Linked DNA regions of Schizosaccharomyces pombe. The protein of the gene in region 1 binds, or shares a complex with, the protein of each later gene. Each region holds a gene or a part of one and is shown in the gene's direction. Other genes may lie near its edges.

The links.
Region 2: mrx14 (region 1) and rtc6 share a complex: the UniProt entries of both Schizosaccharomyces pombe proteins name them as parts of the mitochondrial large ribosomal subunit.
Region 3: mrx14 (region 1) and mrpl25 share a complex: the UniProt entries of both Schizosaccharomyces pombe proteins name them as parts of the mitochondrial large ribosomal subunit.
Region 4: mrx14 (region 1) and mrp20 share a complex: the UniProt entries of both Schizosaccharomyces pombe proteins name them as parts of the mitochondrial large ribosomal subunit.

What each region holds. Positions count from the first base shown.
Region 1 is NC_003423.3:3,801,832-3,807,557, reverse strand, and holds mrx14 (mitochondrial 54S ribosomal protein bL34m), read left to right. Parts: upstream 1-2,529; 5' UTR 2,530-2,656; coding exon 2,657-2,983; 3' UTR 2,984-3,227; downstream 3,228-5,726. Other genes in the region: SPOM_SPBC21C3.06 (uncharacterized protein), read right to left, coding at 100-468; U2 snRNP-associated protein Sap62, read right to left, coding at 724-809, 873-1,314, 1,631-1,756; cqd1 (ABC1 kinase family protein ), read right to left, coding at 3,228-4,673, 4,729-5,361. UniProt on the Schizosaccharomyces pombe protein: Component of the mitochondrial ribosome (mitoribosome), a dedicated translation machinery responsible for the synthesis of mitochondrial genome-encoded proteins, including at least some of the essential transmembrane subunits of the mitochondrial respiratory chain.
Region 2 is NC_003423.3:1,518,089-1,522,458, reverse strand, and holds rtc6 (mitochondrial 54S ribosomal protein bL36m), read left to right. Parts: upstream 1-1,968; coding exon 1,969-2,247; 3' UTR 2,248-2,429; downstream 2,430-4,370. Other genes in the region: Lid2 complex histone demethylase H3-K36 subunit Jmj3, read right to left, coding at 1-1,015, 1,072-1,188; RNA-binding protein Yme2, read right to left, coding at 2,470-4,370. UniProt on the Schizosaccharomyces pombe protein: Component of the mitochondrial ribosome (mitoribosome), a dedicated translation machinery responsible for the synthesis of mitochondrial genome-encoded proteins, including at least some of the essential transmembrane subunits of the mitochondrial respiratory chain.
Region 3 is NC_003424.3:4,992,601-4,997,396, reverse strand, and holds mrpl25 (mitochondrial 54S ribosomal protein mL59), read left to right. Parts: upstream 1-2,889; 5' UTR 2,890-2,952; coding exon 2,953-3,351; intron 3,352-3,462; coding exon 3,463-3,501; 3' UTR 3,502-3,773; downstream 3,774-4,796. Other genes in the region: meiotic recombination protein Rec24, read left to right, coding at 226-493, 634-1,367; lipin, phosphatidate phosphatase Ned1, read right to left, coding at 4,063-4,796. UniProt on the Schizosaccharomyces pombe protein: Component of the mitochondrial ribosome (mitoribosome), a dedicated translation machinery responsible for the synthesis of mitochondrial genome-encoded proteins, including at least some of the essential transmembrane subunits of the mitochondrial respiratory chain.
Region 4 is NC_003424.3:399,779-404,910, forward strand, and holds mrp20 (mitochondrial 54S ribosomal protein uL23m), read left to right. Parts: upstream 1-3,107; 5' UTR 3,108-3,281; coding exon 3,282-3,767; 3' UTR 3,768-4,034; downstream 4,035-5,132. Other genes in the region: ATP-dependent RNA helicase Dbp10, read right to left, coding at 1-2,093, 2,194-2,416; AP-2 adaptor complex subunit Apm4, read right to left, coding at 4,035-5,132. UniProt on the Schizosaccharomyces pombe protein: Component of the mitochondrial ribosome (mitoribosome), a dedicated translation machinery responsible for the synthesis of mitochondrial genome-encoded proteins, including at least some of the essential transmembrane subunits of the mitochondrial respiratory chain.

The sequences.
Region 1 (5,726 bases):
TATTCATATAACGGTATCATGACTTGACTGAAAGAGGGAAGCCGTGTACATTTTAAAAAGTGTAAAATAAACACGTAATTACTTTTTATAGTATACAATTTAAGTGATACTAATTTTGTGATTAGGAAAGCTGGTAATGTCATCCTTAACTGGCTTTGCTCTTGCAAAACTAAGCTTTTCTCGAGCATAAAGACCAAATTCTTTTATATTTTCAACACCAATTGTTCGCATTATCAAACAGGAAGCGAAGGTAAAGGTTGAAACAGTTAATACTGATGTAAATGAAAACAATTTCCAAGTAATCAAAGTTGGATGCACCATTTTCTCAACAACTGGGTTTGGAGAAAAAAAATTAGGCCGTTTTAATATTGTCCGTTGTAGAACCCATGTAGACCAAAGGAAAGTTGAGCTAGATATCGCAAAAATCGCGTCCACTGTAGCGACATTTGCTAATTTATCGAACGCCATACAGTAGAAGTTAGCCAACTTTATCAATTGGTACTTCCACAAATCTGGGAAAATAAGTATATAAATCACCAAAATAGGTTTAGCTAGCACGGTTCTTCTACAATTCACGTGTGGAGAAACAATTCAGAATGATTGAGTTCGAATTCTTTTACACACATAAAGAACTGCGGTATTGATAAATTGGGAGACTGAGCGAAATATTTGGAAAAGACATTTTGTTTCATAAAAAGGAAATTTAGGATAGCAGCTCAAAATTTACGATATTTTTGTTAAGTTGTAAAAGAATTGGATAGTATATGTAGGTGCATCCCAATAACTCCAAAATTTCCCGGGTGCACGATCTATTTCGTGAGCATCTGCGCAACAAAGTTAATATAAATAAAAAATCAGTAAAACCAACATACCAATTTTAAAGGCTATTGATTCGTATGGTTCAGCAGCCACTACCAGATACTGAAACTTTCGGTCAGGAGCTTCAACACGCTGTTCATAAGCACTCATAATTCTGTATCTTGGCTTAGCGTTCACTTCAATATCTGGATACTTTATTTGGAAACGTAGGCCAAATTTTCCGCTTTCGGCTTCTCTTATTTTGGACACTTTATAACCGGGTCGACCAATTTTTACGACACTTTTTTTAACCTGGACATGGGATTGAGAAATGCCCAACAACACTTGTGGTGCATTCTCTTGAGACTTTTTATTTTCGAGAGCCTGTCTCCTGGCTAAATTTGTCTGGTGTTTTTTACCTTGTGTATGGGTAAGGTAAGAGTTTTCATTCGCATGTGTAGTGAGGCAAAGACGACATTCAAAAGTGCCTAAATGATTTTTCATCAAATATGGATCCTATAAGAGATTAGCAATAGAAATATCATCGCAAAGAGTTTGAGGAGGAAGCTTCAAGGTGATTGACAGGGTAAAAAAAAGATGTCCAATTAGTGTAACATGCAAAACAGCAAACAAGGAAGTAGAAAGCAAATCCTTTTCATTTATTATTGTTGTTATTTTAGTTGTTATAGTTAGCGAATTTAACAGCAACTACTAATAAACTTCAATAATATGTAACATACGTACATGTCTTACTTTACACGATTAATTCATCGGTAATTATAATTGACATTCAGCACTCAAATTTTCAGAATTCAGTGGTTTTTAAACATACCTTTGATAAATCAATGGTTTCTAGCGCCAATTTACGAAGACGCTCTCTACGTGCAGCATTTGTTTCTTGATAGCCAGCAACGCCTCCTCCTCCAAAACGAACACCTGCGCGGTTTTGATAATCCATTTTTTAGTTCCTAGAAAATCCAACACTTATTTTTCTGTACTTTCACAATGACAATAAAGTCCCCTAAAAGACGGTGGCAGAGGCTGTACTTTCGTGAACCCCTATGTTTAAAGAAATATCGCAATGCAGAACAATACGCTAAATTCTCATCGTCGATGCCTTTTTTTTAACAAATATTTTAAATAGCAGATTAGAGCTCCTTTTCTCCATTTTATTATGTCACGTAAAAACAAAAAAAAATAATAACTTTTGATAAATTTAATGTATTGATGCTCCCATATATGAGTATATTTAATATGCTTTCAATATTTAAAAAGCCGGGACTGCAGCAATTTGCTTCCAATTTAAAATACTGGGTATTATTAATAAAATAAAATAGATAAAAGAAAGTATAAGATGTCATTTAACTGCTAAAACCTTTTTTGTACTATAAATTATCACTTTTAGCCCATGAATCGAATTCATTAAACTGATGGATTTTACTATTTGGTAATCTCATGCCAATTATTTGTTGGGAAAAAGCAAAAGCGATATCAAATTTTAGGGGTTCAGGTTGCTTTCTTTAAGGGCGTATAAAGAATGGTTAATGAACTATTTATTAATAATAATAGTATTATTATTATATTACCGACATTCCAGTGAATTGAATGAAACTATTAAAACGTAGTTATTGGATTTTAGCAAAGATTTTAATTTATTGTAACACAAATATTTGAAATTTAACACTTCGAATGTCAAACGGTGCTACACTGATTCACTTCAACCTTTCTAATAACCAGCTACTCCATCACATCTCAAATCTCTTCATTTTGCACATTTACGTTCATATATAATTTTTATATTATTTTTTGAAATTTTTTCTCTTGAAATCCAGTCACCTGCTTTCATTCCTATTGCTTTATGATGTTTATGCAACAATTTCGAAATTTGTTGCATCCTGCCATGAAGGGAGCCAGGAATATTTCAATATTAGCTGGAGGAGGAACTATGAGAGGGTTTCCGACAAGAAACCCTTTTAATACCGCTACTTTATACAGTTCTTTACCGACTATGAACATCTTCGGTCAAATGCAGCAAGTGCGTTGGAAAACGTATGGAAACGAGTATCAACCCTCAAATAGAAAGCGTAAAAGAAAACACGGATTTTTATCTCGAATTCGTTCTGTTAACGGTCGTCGTGTTTTACGAGATCGAAGACAAAAAGGGAGGATGTATCTGAGCCATTGAGTACATATTATCTTTTAATGGGCTCTAATTTGCATTAGTAACCTCTATCAATTCTTCATTTAAGTAATGCTTTCTAGTTTGTGATACATTTTCTTTCCATTGGTTCTTTGTTTAATTTTACTTGTTGAACTTTGAACTTTAATAACTTCTTTAAAACACGAGTTTATAAAATTTATTTTCCATGTCTGCGACTATATTTTTCATGAACAATTTTCCATCATTTATAAAATAAACCGTAATTTTTTTATATATTGGGTGCGATCATATCGGACTTAACCCACTTTTCTACCGTTTCTTTAGAGGTGCTTAAAAGCAAAAATTGTCTAGCTTCTAAAGCTATCCATAATTGAACCATTGGGTTTGTGAGTGAGACATTGGATTTCGATGAAGCAGAACGAAGATATGGTGTAGCATTACTTAATAGATCCATTTCTGGATATAGTTGGCGTCCAGCGCCTTCAACTAAAAGGATAGATAGCACAGTATTTGCGAAATTTGCTTCAATTCGAACATGATGCTCTCTCGCCATAGTCATTACTTCTTGTAATATAGTTCCTATTTGAAGTGATTTCAGTGAAAGCGTGCTCTTTTGAATTTCATTCAACAAATGTTCCATTTTAAGAGCAAATATGTCTTTGTTTATAACGCGTTCTGTCTGCCTGCTCCTTTCAACCATCAACAGTCCAGCCTCATAGCCATGGAAAGTAAGTACGGCTTGAAACAGATCCAAAAAATTTTTCTGATCCTGCGTACTAAGTTTCGTTACTAATCCAGCATCCAAAAATACTAAAGTCGGTCGATAGCCCAAGATGTTTAATTCTTCCATAGCAGAATCCCATTCCTCCGTCGAACATGTACTTAGAATTTTATAAATTGAGTCATTAATCTCATTATCTTGATTAAAGATTGTTTTAGGGATTCCTTTGTAAAATTTAACAAGGACATTACCCGGATGAAGATCAGCATGTGTAAAGTTGTCAACAATAAGCATTTGAAATAATGCATTATTTCCTGTGTTAGCTAACAACTTGTTAAATGGTCCTGACTTATGTTTGAGGAACGCGCTTAATGGGATACCCGGCATATAGTCTTCTAGTAGGATTTGATTAGTCGTGTAATCATCATAGGGAGCTGGAAATTCAACATATCTATTTCCTCTAAAGTTAAGACGGAACTGGTTGAGATGAAGCGCCTCATAATGTAAATTCAATTGCTGGTTTAACATTGCCCCAAATACCTTAACTTCGTCGGGCAGAGAAAGCCACTTCATTGAAGGTACCAAATTAATTAATTTTGCGAAGAAACCTAAGATTTGTAAGTCTAAAGAAATGTATTTTTCAACATTCGGGTGCAAAACTTTAATGGCTACATCTTGAGTCACTGGCGCATCAGAGATATTTTTCTGTCGAAACCCTATAGATTGTAGCATACTTGTAAAGTAGGAATTATCTTGCTGCGTAGCTGCTTTCTTGATGGTAGCCGTATAGACTTGAGCAATTGCTCCAACACCTATAGGTATTGGGTTAAAATTAACAAAAATTTCCTCGATAGATTCCACTTTATAAGTCTTGCAGATGACTGATTGAGTATAGGCAAGGCTGTGGGGCGTTACATGTGAATGTAATTTGGACAGTGTTTTACAGAAAGCAGGAGGAAACAAATCTGTCCGTGAAGCAGCCCATTGTCCCAACTGCAAAATAAAAAAATAATGTTAGTAACATGATAAGCGTAAATTCAAAACGTACCTTGATAAACGTTGCTCCTGCTCTTTCTAATTGAGTAACGAGGAAACGAAGCCAAATGGATACGGTTAAAGACGACAAAGATCGAAGATGCAGGAAAGAAATAAGAGCGATAAACGGTAAGGTAATAATAATTGGAGAGAAAATAATAAATAAATTAAATGACCTGAGGAGAATATTAAAAAATTGTTTTATTTTTCCAAAAATAGAACGAGGTCGATTGCTTCTCTCTTCTAATTCAAGTTCGTCAAAGGAGAAAATATTATTCTTTCGATTTTTGACTCTGTATAAAATCCATAATCCTCCGACCGTAAAAGGGAGGACAAGAAATGTAATCCTTAGTATCCTCCATTGCTTCTGGTCTTCACTTTTTTGTCGGGTTGTAAACTTTCTTGCAAATATAGGTTTGGGGAATAAAGATATATGCTTCAATCGATTAACCAGTACGTGCTTTTTTTTGTATGGTGACCAAACTGACTGTGTCCCGCATAACCTTTTCCATCTTGTGTTCTGCGAGTTAACGACAGGAATATAATTTCTTTGAATAATGAAAGCAAAACGAGAGTTTGCAGAAGGAATCATGCTTAGACTAAGTCCCGAACGTATGTGAGAATTCCAGTGAGAAAAACTAATCATGTTCACCAATTATTGACTTTCAGAAGAGCATTTCCTTATCAAGAATCAAAAAAATAAATAAACTAATTACAATGGGTATTTTCGATTGAAAACACTGGCAAACCTGATAAAGAAAATAGGAATTGTTCAATAAATGTGTATAGCAGCTACTAAAAGAGGTGTTTCAAAGAATTTAGGAAACCCTGTCAACCTTTAATATCTTGAAAATAAAGAATGCACCAGTTCAAAAATATTGCTCAAATTTACGTGTCACTAGTGTCTATTGGTGTCAACGTCGAATGACGCTGTCTACTTGTGACTGGGAGAAAGAAAAATAATAATTGTTAGCCAAAATGAAGACTGTAATAATAATCAATTCTTTCATT
Region 2 (4,370 bases), 2.3 Mb from region 1:
CACTATCATGGATGTTGGATTCGGGTAAATCATGCAAGTAAAACTCATCCAGGAACTTTTGAGAACAAGCACGTTGAGGCTTATGCGAATGTGGCCATAAAGATTTAGAGGAATAAAGGGATTCTGAAACCATAAGTCTTCGTAAATTAGAAAATTCATAGTTGGAAGCAGATCTTGGTGAACGAAAGACAAAACGTCGTAAAACAGCGTCTCCTAGACAAAATGCACTATGATGTGTGCCTGGAAAGGTTATAAGCAGTTCATCCTGTTTAAGGACTGTTGAATAAGTAACAATACCATTTTGTACTAGAGTTGAAGGGGGAAACAAAATATTCTGGTGAAGCAAAAAATCTGAACAACGCCAATGCTCATCTTGCGCAAGCTTTCCAGCTAATTTTTTAAAAGACTCACTATGTGCTGAAGGTATCACATACCATTGCAATGAAGAGCCACCTAAATGTACCTGAACTGCATGCAGCTCAGGAGATTCTACCCGCCAAGGAAGGGTAGTTTTCCATTTCCCAGCAAATAAGTGACCAACATTTGGCCAAGTGTTAATCAATGTATTCGATCTTAAATGTACCCTATCTTTTTGAGCAGCAGATATCGAAGGTATAAAATAGAAGGGGATCGATGGGCGATTAGTATATCCATACCACAGACTGTCATGGGTCAAAGAACGCCAATAATATGCAATAGCTTTAGCCACATTGTTTTCAAAGTCATTAGAACTTCCAGCGTTTGAAGGAAACCTGTCGTCGACATTCATATCGGTAGGCTTTTTAGGACCAGCCGAGCCATGGTCTATATCGCTTTGAATCTCGAAGTACTCTCCTTTCCGTCTCACCATTCGCTCTAACCATAAATCCATTTTTACATCGGAAGGTTTCATTGTATCTTCGTTCCAAGGATTTAAAACAGAACTAGGACGAACAACTTTAATTGCGCCGTATTTCTTGCCAAGCCTTTCAACGCGCCGAATAAAACTTTCCATATCTACAAATTCTGAAATTTTCTAAACAAATTTTGTTAACATCCACAAAATATTTAATATTTTTCGCGTAAACTTACTGGTTCCACAACAGGTATGCCATCTGACCCTTCGATATGATAATCGATTTCACACTCCAAAGAACTCACTGATGTGTCACTTTTGCCAGCATGTTTCTCTTTAACATTTTGCTGCATAGCAATCTATTTTTCAGCCTTTGGATTGAATATTTTGGTGTTTTTGAGACATCCACCAATTCGTGGGATTTGCTAAATTTTCCTTTAACAATCTTTTACCAAGGCAAATGACGCATCTGCACTCCAGTTCCATACCCAAATTAGCAAAGTATAACGAACTCGTTATACCAGCAACTAAAAACATAAACAAATTCTCAAAAATTGATCATTTCAAATTAATCGATTAGCATGCCAAACCAAATAACGTAGAATCAAAGTTATTAGATGATGCGGTCAATTAGCTATTTTAGGGACTAAGAAGGTCAGAGACTCAACATTAAAATTTTCATTTGTAAACAAAAAATGGAGCTACACTGTTGAGTTGACTCCACTTTAATAAAAGTATTCCTTATTTTAAAATAATGTGATAAATTTCAGGTCAAATTGCTCCACAGTAAGCTGGCTATTGAATTTATAGAATAACAAGACATGTTGGTTGTCACTAACTGACATGTCGTAGGTTAGCTTACTAGAAGCACTAACTACTATTTATTTTCCCAACAAAGAATATCCAACAAATCGGGCGTAAGCGAGTTTATATAACTTAGTATTCACCTTTTTTTTTTATGAAAATCTTCTCTTGTTGATAGGCATTTTCTATTATCGTTCTTTTTTGGCTCAGTCCAAATTGTGAACACTTTTCCATCGTACATCATTTATTTAGCTCAGAATTACTTCGGATCCAAAAAAATTTAAACATCTTGACTTGAAGTCCCAGTTTCACTTTTTTTTTAACTTATAATGGCTTCATTAGGTCGTAAATTTTTTGCTGTGGGTGTTTTGTCACGAGTCTTCCCTTCTGCTTTTAATGCACAAAAAGGGTTGTTAAAAAATGCATCTATGTTCTTAACCCCTGCTTTCAGACTTTCTCCTAGCCTTCTACCTTGGAACTTTTCAAGAGGTTTCAAAGTGAAAGCATCAGTAAAAAAGCGTTGTTCATCCTGCTATTTTGTGCGTCGCAAAGGTAGGTTGTATGTACTATGCAAAAAACATCCGAGACATAAAACCCGTCAAGGTTAATGACTATAACCGGTTTCGCTTCTTCTTTTTTTTTCTACCTAGGCTAATTCTTCATTACGCTCACTTCATATTACGACGATTTTTGGACTACCTACCAAATCCTTACTCCCTTCTCTCTCGTTAATGCGTAGTCATTAAATGTGATATTATTGTTGACATTATAGCTTCATGCTAAAGAATTCATAAAAACATACGTAATCTTAAATGATATGCTTTCGCATCTTAGTCGATTTTTTTCAAAGCCTCAGTAAGCCTTTCTATACTTTTCTCATTATCAGTAATAACACCTTGATTTTTCTGGATACGCGTCGTTAAGTAATGAGCACGATCCTTCACACCTGATTCAAGGTTCCCAAGGTCCTTTAGCATTTGTAGCTCCTGTTCATCATTCTTGATAGCATTGTTAGCCATGCCAATTAACGCGTTACATCTCACCAACTGCATATTAGCACTTAATACTGGATCATTTACAAGTTGCCGGAAAGCCGTAACATATACAGGTTTTCCAGCGTAGACTTTATCCGGTCTTGCATTCACTGTGGTAATAGTAATCAATTCTGATTCTTCCAAGGCACGAACGGCATCGTCGTGTCCTTTGAACAGTGGGTCAAGCATCAACATATGATAGGGTATATATTCATGTTGAGATAAATAAGTAATTAAGGTCCATGACTCTTCTGGAGTGAACGTTGGCTTCTCCTCACTGGTTAAAGAAGCAGGCCGTAAAAATGTTTGCAAAATATCAGAGGCATTTTGACTTACAATACCGCCAATTGCTTCAGAAACACTGGAAGAATTAACCCGCAACCTACGAGCTACATAATCAAGATCACGAAGTCGGCCACCAATCTTCGGTAATTGGACCCGCAATTCTTTCCTCAATTCTTCTGTTTGCATCTCTTCGGGTAAAGACTCTATGACATATCGCTGAGCAAGTACAGGGTCAGCATCTCCTAATAACAATGTTCTATTTTCCCAACCGTTGACATATTGCTCTAATGACTTGGTGCCTCCAACATCGGGTGTTAGCATTAGTACATGAGCAATTCCTTCCTTTACCAAATTACCAGCCCATTCAGCAACCACTCTCTGCATCGGGTTTGATAATTTACGAAGCTGGAAATTGTCGAGAATAACAACAGGTAAGCGATCTGCATGAACTTCTAAAAACTCAGATTCATCCAACACACTAGTATCGGCTTCTTTATGCTCTCGTAATGCTAGAGAACGCAATACCGTTTGTGTTGTGTTAAGAATTTGCCGCACTTGTCCTTCACTAGAAGAAACAATTCCCGTTTTTTGTCCTATGAGACCTTGTGCAGCCATATCGATAAGTGACGATATGTTGTTTAGGAAGCTAAAGAGGGGGAAATACCCCGTTTGGCTAGCAAGAGTACTTACGAACATTTCCGTATTAGTAGTGGAGAATAAGCGATCACAGTCGAAAAACAAAACATTTTTTCGTTCTTTAACAACTCGATCTACCAGATCACGCTTACCACTACCACGAGGACCTTGAACAACAATAAAAGAATGTAATGCTTCATCCAACCATTCTTTCAACTGTTCACAATCCTTTTCACGTGTTGTCCAAATCGGTGCCTTTATATTTGTACCATTTTCGTGAAAGGGACTCAAAACTATATCGCGAGTTTTCTTTTTGACCCACCCAACAACATTGATATTTCTCAACTTCTGACCATGTACAATGTTTGTCTCGACAAAGAACTTTCTTATCGGATCGAATAAAGAAGCCGTTAAAACTGTAATAGCCGCCGCAACCAAAGGAATAGTAAAACGAGGATGAGAGAATAACCAGTCTTTGAAGGCGACAAAGCGGTTCATATGTCTGTATCGCATGTGGAATTCTGTTTTCCCATAAACAAAACCATGCATACAGTTTAAAGCTGACGTAGCGGACCTTAGCGATGAAAAACTCAAAGTAGCAGAAGTAGGTGAATTAATGGTCACGGATCTTAGTTTTCCATATGTCCTAAAAATACTATACAATCTTTCCTGGGAAAGGGGCGGACCTTCGAAATTCACATCTACTGTACGAGATGGAAATATATATAAATCTTGAAGCCAAGGAATACCATGTACCATGTGTGGAATCGGGGTAG
Region 3 (4,796 bases), on another chromosome or scaffold:
CTTCTTCAAAAAATCACTTACAAAGAAAGCGGTATTAAATATTATTCACAGTGATTAATATGTAATTTTGGTTTTGTAAAGAGTCATGTAGATGTTGGTATTTAAGTGGGTTCGTCGCGACGAGATGTAAACAAACCAAATTACATAGTGCAGTACAAAGCATCGTAAACTGTAATGAATGGCACAAATACTGAAGACAATAGTAAACAAATACTCATACAGACAATGTACACGTACGATTCGTCGGGAGAGACACTGAAAATAGCAATAGCATGGAAGATAATTTTAAAAAAACCGAAAGGAAAAAATATCAAAGACTACATAGAAGCATTGCGGAAAGGAATTGAGGATCAGGAACATTGCGAAAAATACGCGTCAACATTATTGGAACCGCGCCCAAAGACGAAAAAAGATGTTGTTTTGAAAAATAGTAATGTTACAGAGTGTGTGGCTTTAAAAGCCAAACCGTTCTCTAAAAAAATCGAGGATATGGGTAAGTACTTGCACGATGCTTATTAAATCCATCAATACTAGGCCGGTATATCTTCTTATATCTAAAGCATTAGTTATATTAAAGAAAGCCTTTTTGATCTAAAATAGTATGAATTTTCTTTCGTTAACAATCCAATCTAGATATCTTTTTGCTGACCAATGTTCACGAGAATCTTCAGGAAAAGAGGCAAACATCCGGAAGCCTTGCGCATCTGGATATTGAGTACACGTTTAATGGACTTTTTCGATTCTTAAAATGCACTGCTGACATAAAGTTGAAGCAAACAAAAGTATACGAGGGTGCGGATTTTTTGCGCATTAAAACTTTATTCGAAGAAATTTTTATGTTTCTTAAAAGAGATTGTAAGTCGCCGTTGGTTTTAACAAGACTAGTTGAATTGGGAGATTATGTACTGGATCTCATTATAATCACGCAGTCGATTATGCAAAACAATGCCAACAATGGAACTGGAGTGATTTCCAGAGCGAAATTTTTGGAATTTTACGTATTTTTGGAGCAACTGATATTTAACAAGCTCTCATTCGCTTCCGTAGAGCAATTGGAAAAATTACTAGATCAAATTGTTAAACGGATGAAAATATGCTTCACATATTGCAAAAACGATAACCCATCTATCCGGTTGTTATATAGTGAATGTTTTTTTTCGTACGCTGAGATATACTTCCCTTGTCTACACTCCTTCGATGCTCAGCTTTCATCTGCCGCAAGCAAATGTGTCCAAATCTTAAGAGACATAATCACAAATGAAGAATTACAAACTGATAAACAAGAGTTGTCTAAGAGTGCCTACTCTGCTCCATCCATCCTTTTGATTGGCCTCAAAGATATGCTATTTCCCGAAGACATTTCCTAATAGTAATATATTGAGGGCCACTATTTAACACACATTCATTTCTTGCCTTTCCAATTTGACTCCTTTTGTTATCCTAAAATATTCACAACATTTGGTGGAATTTTTCTGGAAATTCAATGTACAAAGAACGTTGTGGTGAAAGTGTTGATCATCATATCCATTCGATGAACTTTGATATTATGTTCCCTTTTAAATCTTGGGCATAAGGGAAAGGTTTTCTGCTTTTAAAAATTGATGGATAAAAGAAACAAAGGAACAAAAAAAGCGAATATATAGTGGCCAATTTGTATTATTTTCAAGTACAGAAGTGCTTTCCAAATTCGTTTACAAGAAACTTTGGAATTTCAATCAACAAGCTATGTTTCTTCTTTTCCAATAAAGCGCATTTAATACAACGCGTTGACAACAAGATTATTGATCAAGTAAAGGAAATTTATCGCACAAGCCTTCATTCATAATCCGCGATTTGATCTATACGCATTGCTATCCTATTCCTTACGAGGGATAAATCGAAGGAAGTGATAATGGATAAAACCACACAAGCTCCAGAGAATTGAAGGTTTTTCAGCTATAGACCTAACTAGAAGAACAGGGATACTTACAGGGCTTATTAATATTCAACATTAAAGAGCGTCTTATCGATTCCTTGTCAACTTGATATCACCAACAGTTCTATGCACTACTAACTTTATGTCACACTGCGTTACATGTCATTATAAATAATTCCTTTAGTATTTCTTATATTCTCCACTAATTGGAGTCATCGAGAGATGACCGGACTTTTCCTACAATAATTTTTACTTTTATTTATGTTTTAAAATACTCAAAATAAGCATGATTGAGCTTTTTTTGCTTACTCTCAACATGTGTCAGTAGGAATCCGTACATGATCTGATATGATAATTTTACTGGCATCAGAAACTCTATAACCACACACAGCTTACTTGAACGGGCCTCATTTGATGGAATCATAGAAGCAATCACAACTAAAAACGATAATGATTGAAAGCGTTTGAATGCTACGTTGGCGGAACACAATCACACATACTGTCAGCCTTCAATAATTAAATAACGCAACCCAACAAAGATGCCTAAGGTAGAGGGACTAATGCGAGAGGAAGCCATCTACGCAGTATGTAAAATATTTTAAGGAGTTTGTATAGTTGCTAATTTAACAACGATATACATAATAACGAAATATGTTAGTGATTTTTATATTTGTATAAAATAATACCCTGGATAATTTTGTATTTATTAACTATAGTACTGCTACACCGTAATATTATATTAATTAGTATATCCATTGGAACTAAATTGAGTAACTAAGAATTAGTCCGACCTAATAAACGCTAATAGTCAATAAATTGGCTTAGAATTGTCTGAGATAATAAACTCTTTTAATATTTCAAACGATGAAAAGTTTCGATTAAGAACTCAAGAATGAACAGTAATGATTGATTTAACGTAATATAGCGCAGTTAAACGTTTGCCGACATCTTAGGTCAATGTATTTTCTAATACTAATAGTGCTTGACTCACTGTCTTTTTGAGCTTCTCTATAGATTAAAGAGGTTTTAACCTTATCATGCCAGTCTTTACCAAGGAAGCTTTGGAACGGCTTCCTATCCAATTAGGAAACTTTTTTAAAAAGTTTCCGCCTGAAAATCCAAATGCATGGACGACAAATCCAAATCGTCAAAATCCGTTTCTCGCAACTCGAAATCCTCAGAATGGCCTTGTAATCAACCCTTACTATTCCAATAGAAGGCAAGCTGAAATATATAAAGAGGCCAGGCTTCAGAATCTGGATAATTTACTCCCCCAACAAATGTCATGGCAGAAAGATTCTACACGCCATATTTTGAAAGGTCTTCTGAATCCTAAAGGAAAAATTAGTGAACGAAAGAGGGATGAGATTTTGGAAAATAGGCGTTTAAAACTTTCGGAATCATTGAAGAAAACTTCTAAATTTAAAAATGAGCGCGTATGTAAACTGTTGTACTTTCATGATTTTCTTATTTCTATCTACTGATTTTGATTGTGAAAAATTTACTATTATTATTTTTTTAATTGTCTTTATTAACACTCTTTTTAGCAAAAAGCTAGCAAAATAGCGAAACCTTCTCCTTTCTAAATTCTTCTTCTGCAAAGTGGGTTTCACGTAATACTGTTAATACCTTTTGATTCCTGTTTGTTTATGACTTCCTTAAATTTTTTTAAAGATTCATTTAAATTTACTGCTATATTACCTCAATTATGTGTTTACTAAAAGTCTTTTATTGTGCAGCATGATAAAAAGACTAATATACTAGTCTATACATTTTTGTAATCTTTACTAATAATATGATTCTACTTTAATAGTTAAATTACATTTAAATATTAGGTTTTGAATCTGCAGACTTAGGATTTTAGAATGTGATTTATTCGTAACTTTTCATTATGAAGTATCTTGTTATCTTTAATTTTTAGGAAGAGCGCATTTAAATATAAAAAAAATATTTAGCACTTTCTCAAAACTCATTACTTGTGAATGAGTAAGTAAGTCATTATATGATTTATGTAACTTTCTAAGCTTATTAGTGCATTTCAAAGCCGACGGAAATTCGTCAAAGTGATTTTAAGATTTTGGGGCATTAAAAAAAAAGATGGACAGTCGAGTAATTTTTTTTTCATCGGAAATTGGGAAAATGCAACTTCAAACAGCATTTTCAACGTCTTCTTCTCCTTCTTCATCTTCTTCACCTTCAAACATTAATTCATTGAAAGACTTAATCAATGGACTAGGAGAATAATCTTGAGCATCTTCCTCGTCAATCCCCTCGAATTCTTGATATCCGAATTTCGTATTTTTGGGTGTTTTGGGCGACTTGGATGTGCTTTTATTAGTATCGTCTTCTTCTTCATCGCTAAGTTCAAGCAAAGGAGATCTCCAAAAATTCACATCAGTAAAGCTTGAGACTTCATCTCGGGTGCTAACCTCGATGGGAGGGAAGAAATGATCGACAAGCTCATTCATGTAAACATAACTACTTCGGTGACCGCTTCGCTGCAACAGTTCAATATGGACTTCGCCAGCAGAATTAATGGTAAAAATCCTAGTTGGTGGAACTCTGACATGGTTATAAGATATTGCGTCTGTAATACGATTGCCAAAGCCGGCGTAAAATGGTGTTCGAGGAACAGGTAAGGCGAAAATATTACAAAGATCACGCAAACAAGCCATTTTAAATACTTCTGGCTTCCTTAAAATTACTTCTCTATGAAGAGCAGCCATAGTGCGATCAGGTGATAAAATAACAGGACCATCGGGTAGAGAGTATCCGTTCTGTTCAATATTCCGGAGATAATGTCGAGTAGAATCGGCTTGGCCTACCGAACGACTAGTTAAATACATAATTTTGTAGCCGTTGTTAGTGATATCGGTATACA
Region 4 (5,132 bases), on another chromosome or scaffold:
AGGAGAATCGTTGGCACCGAATGCTTTAGATGCTTTCCATTCATCAAAACGACCACTACGATATGTTGCAGGCAATTTCACGCCGCTTTCGCCACGAATTATCTTGGGAGACCCTTTGGACCCGTCTTCGTCGTTAATTATATTAACAAATTTCTTTTTCTTTGGATCCCAACGTTGTCCCCCCTTCCTTGATTGTTCAATTCCTTCGTCATTTGTTAAATCGAGAATAGCATGACGAGCTGCGGTAGTAAAATTTTCACCAGAATTTATAGCATAGCCAGTTTCTTGAATAGATTCCTTTGGAGCGTAATGAGACATATAATACTCTTTATCTTTAAAATCAGTTGTCTTCTTTTTTGATAACTCCTTAGGATTTTTAAATACCTCTTCAAGCTCTGACTCTGAAGCTTCTGACATATTACCAGGAGAACTGTCAGTGATTTTATCAGATGCAACTTCAGATTTTATTCCTTTTGGTTTTACTTTGTTTCTTCTTTTCCGCATGATTTCTGCAGCTTCTGTCTTTAAGTGACCACGCTGACCGATTTCAAATACTGTTTCTGATGGCCGATAAGAAGAAACTTTTGAAAGCAATTCAGCATATTTCTCCTCGGCCTCAATTACCGATACATCTCCAAATAATGGATTGTTGGAACTCCAGCCCTTGCTATCAACCAATTCCTTAGCTCTTTTAGCACTCTCAGCACTACAAGTAGCTCTTGTGCGAAAATATAGTTTCTCACCCCTTGCAGCAACGTTGGAAAGTTGCTGTAGCTCAACGTCTCTCGAAACTATTCTTTGTACCCATTCTAGTAGCTCAGCAACAAGTTCTTGGGGTAATGATCCCAAAACAATCTGTTTTGTAAAATCACAATCCGAGTCAGTTTTAACCTGCTTCGAGGATGTAACTAAAGGTCGGTTTAAAAATAGTTGTAAGTCTAATAAATAACCAGCATCTTCTGCTCTAACCAATGAATACGCCCAGCCAGTGCGTCCTGCTCGAGCTGTACGTCCTACACGGTGAACAAAAACTTTTGGTTGAGGAGGGAAATCATAATTAATAACATTAGCAAGTAATGGGATGTCAATACCACGAGAAGCTACGTCTGTAACGACTAGTAAATTTGTTTTTCCAAGTCGAAAATTATTAATTTCATTGAGACGCGCTTCTTGGTCCAAAGACCCGTAAATTTTTGAAACCGAATATCCTGCTTGAACAAGTAACTCAGAAACATACTCGACATGATGTTTTGTAGGAACAAATACTAGAGTAGAATCTGGTGATCCAGATTCACTTCCTTTAAGCGCTAATTCTAATGCACGTTTTCTTTTCTTCGGATTATTGACATTTCCTATTTCTCTTGGGCGCACGTTATCTTTTAGAGGAAGCTTAATGATATCTTGTAGTATACATAAGAGAGCAGCTTCGCGTTCAGCGGTTTTAACAGAAAAAAAGGCACTTTGTAGATCCGCGGAAACCTTGGATTCTACATCAAGGCGTACAAGAACCGGGTCTTGAAGTCCAGCCTTTGCAAAATCAACAAGAGTACGTGGAAGTGTGGCAGAGAAGAGAAGAGTTTGACGAGAAGTCGGCAAAGCATGTAAAATCTCTGTCAATTGAGCAGCAAAACCCATTTCAAAAAGTCTATCGGCCTCATCGAAAACGACATACTCGATTGAACTCAACTCCAATTTCATTTCCACCTTTAAATGTAGAAATCTTCCAGGAGTTGCGACCACAATATCGGGTTTTCCGGATAGCAAACTAAATTGCTCCTCTAGACTGACGCCACCGACGATAGCGACAGATCGAAGATCCGTACCTTTAGAAAAGTCTTTGACGACTTTCACAGTCTGAAGAGCAAGTTCTCGATTTGGCGAGAGAATTAAGGCGCGAGTATTAGAGTTTGCTAGAGTGGACTTCAAATGCTCAATCATAGGTATAACAAAAGCTGCAGTTTTACCTGATCCAGTACGTGCCATACCTACAACATCACGACCTTCCAATAAAAGGGGAATCGTTTTGCGCTGAATCGGCGTAGGAGCTTTAAAACCCTTCTTAAATATTGCTCGAAGTAAAGTTTGATTCAATCCTATAATTAAGTTAGAAAAATATCAAAGTAATTTAGATTACAGTGTCTTGAAGCATAATGCAAAGTGACCTTATGGCAAGTAATCACGAAGTTAACATACCCATCGATTGGAAATTAGAAGCCTTTCCATTCCCCTTTTTTCCCTTCGTCCTCCTGTTAGACTCCAAAAGCTTCGAGGCAATATAATTACCATCATCTTCATCGCTCACATTTTCACCAACATTTTCGTGCTTATCTTTTTGATTATCAGTAGCAATATCAACAGGAAAAGCTTTTAAAGAATTTGATATATCGACCTCGTCGGACGTCTGGAATCCGGACATTTAAGACGAGTGAGCTGCACTTTTGTTGATTTTTTAGTTCTCTAGTGTCGCTGGCAAGAAAATTTACCGTATGAATAACAACTATCAAAAGGGCCTTCTTAAGTTTGATTTAACATTCTCATTTCAATTGTTCTGCTGCGTTTCTTTATATTAAAAATAAGTAATCCAACGTATTTTAATAAACTATAACGAACTTGAAATAAGCTGCTTTATATGTCAGCAATACTACACTACGCTACGATATACTACGTTGTGTATCACTATATGTCACATGTTCATAATGTTCTATTTGCTCTATCAGCTTTACATGATAAGTTATCTAGAAGGATATAATATCATTTATGATAAGATGACTATCAGTTATAATCCTTGTTATTTCAAATGTTATAAATTGAGAACAACTGAATTTGATTCCTCAGTTCAGTTATAAGATATCTCAGCTATAGATAACGATATATCCTATATATTAGAATACCTATATCCAATTCCTACTTATACTACTTGCGTATTACAATATAATAGATCACAAGGAAAACTCACCGCAGTTCTACGTATCCTTAAATCAGATACCAAATTGCGTAGCTTACATATATTACGTTCTAGGATAATACAACCAGAGACGTTATTTGTTAATAGTATACAACTGAGCTTTGATGCAATAAAGCAACCGGATTCTCAGCACGTTAGTACTAAACAACATTTGAACTCCGTAATCCAACAAATGGTTAATAACTAATCGTTTACCTAAGGCCGTTGACATCAAATTCATCTTGAAATCTACTGTTGAGAAAAACCATTTGTTTCTCTTTTTTTGCATAACTAGCACAAGTTGCTTTAGCCTTGAAGTTGAAACTCAATAGTAAATATGAGTAAAATTGCTGGGAAAAGATTAGTGTACTTTCCAAATATAACGTTCACGTTATGCAGAGGACTAAATCTTCAACCTAAATTTGCAGTATTTCGCGTACCTCTTCATGTTAACAAGTTTGATGTTCGCGATTATTTGCAACATGTGTACAATTTAAAAGTCGTATCAGTTAAGTCAAGAATTTATCAGGGCAAACTTTTTAGAAATCAACTAGGACAGGTTAAGAGACCACAATCTGAAAAACGCGTCATCGTTGAGATGGAAGAACCTTTCGTTTACCCAAATGCCCCAAATGATTTGAAAGATTGGCAGGAGGGTGAATTACTTCCTGATGGTTCTAATGTGAAAACCCTGAGCAGGTATCCAAAGGTCCTTGAACAAGTTGACATGAAACGGGTGAACGAAGAGTTAAGTAAGTTACAAGATAAGCAGATACTCGAATCACAACAGAAAATCGCTAGACTTTTAAAGAAAAAGTATTAGTATTTTTTTCATTTCCCAGGTAATGTTTTATTTTGGTTTCCGTCTATTCATTAATGCCTACAAAAGCATAATTATAGCCTCAAATGCCTCATCGAAGCGGTATGGTGTTTAATTGCATTCATTATAACCTCTCTTCTTTCATCTATTAAACTTTCAACGCCACTTGTTTCATTTTGAAATGTTCTAAAACTATTTTGGAAATTCTTTTCATGTCGGAAAAGCACGGTCGTCAATTAATAAAATAATAATTTTGTATCACAATACTTCTTAAATGCGTATCTCGCAAGTTCCAGCCCTAGTTGAGTACCTTACCCATTTAATACTTTTGTATTTGCTATTAGAAGGTTCACTGACCCTTAAGTATTGCACATGTAGACCGGAGCTGGTAAACATAAGAATATTGAAATCTAAGGATATTGGAGGCTTCGCCCATATTTGCTGGTTAGTTGTATTAGATAACTCTACCTCAGCGTAAAAAATAAGTTCAGTTTCGCCTAAAAACCGGGGAATTTTCCAATTGATAATATTTTCAGAGGGCTCGTACCCTGCCTTTCCTCGATTTACACGAGGATTAGCTTTTACCACATTTGTGGGAACCGGTATCCGAAAGTTCAAAGAAGAAGAAAGTTTGTGTGGATAGTCTGCTCGTATACTGATACGATAAATAATTTTTTGTTTCGACAACTGTTCGACAATAGGAACAATTCTAAAAGGAATATTTATGTTTTCATGTGAACGATAACTCATTAATTCAACCTCACCATCCGGCGGAATGAAAGTAATTCTGTGTTCATTTTCAAATTCCGGCAATCTAACACATTGATGAAACTGGCAATCTTCTAAAATGACAAATCCTCCGTTAACTGAGGACGGATTTCTAGAGTTATTTGATTTAGACTTGCTTTCTGATTGTTTTAATTTAAAATCAAGCTTATCATTTAGCCCAAACTGACATTCAGGCATTCCAGAAAGCATTGCACGCATTTTCACGACACCAGAAACATCTGAGCGTAGCACATTTCCAGTAGAGCTAATAAGTAAATTCATTCTTTCAACAATATCAATGTAGATACTATTTTTTCTATACTTAATGCCAGCTCTACGCCATGGTACAGACCCTGGTATTTCAGAGGAAGTGGTGTGTGCCAACTGAGAGGAATGAGACCTTTTCAAGGACAGTGCATTGCCTTTCTTTTTGACAGCTGTTATGCTGACAGATCTTGCAAGTGCGTCAGGTTCAGTAGTCTGAATGATACCATAGTCTATCATTTCATCCAGCAACTCGAAAATAAAGGAGACATTGTCTTTGACTGTATTTTCATTCAGTTTCCCAAAATAATGTGTCAAATCTTGAATTAGACTCTC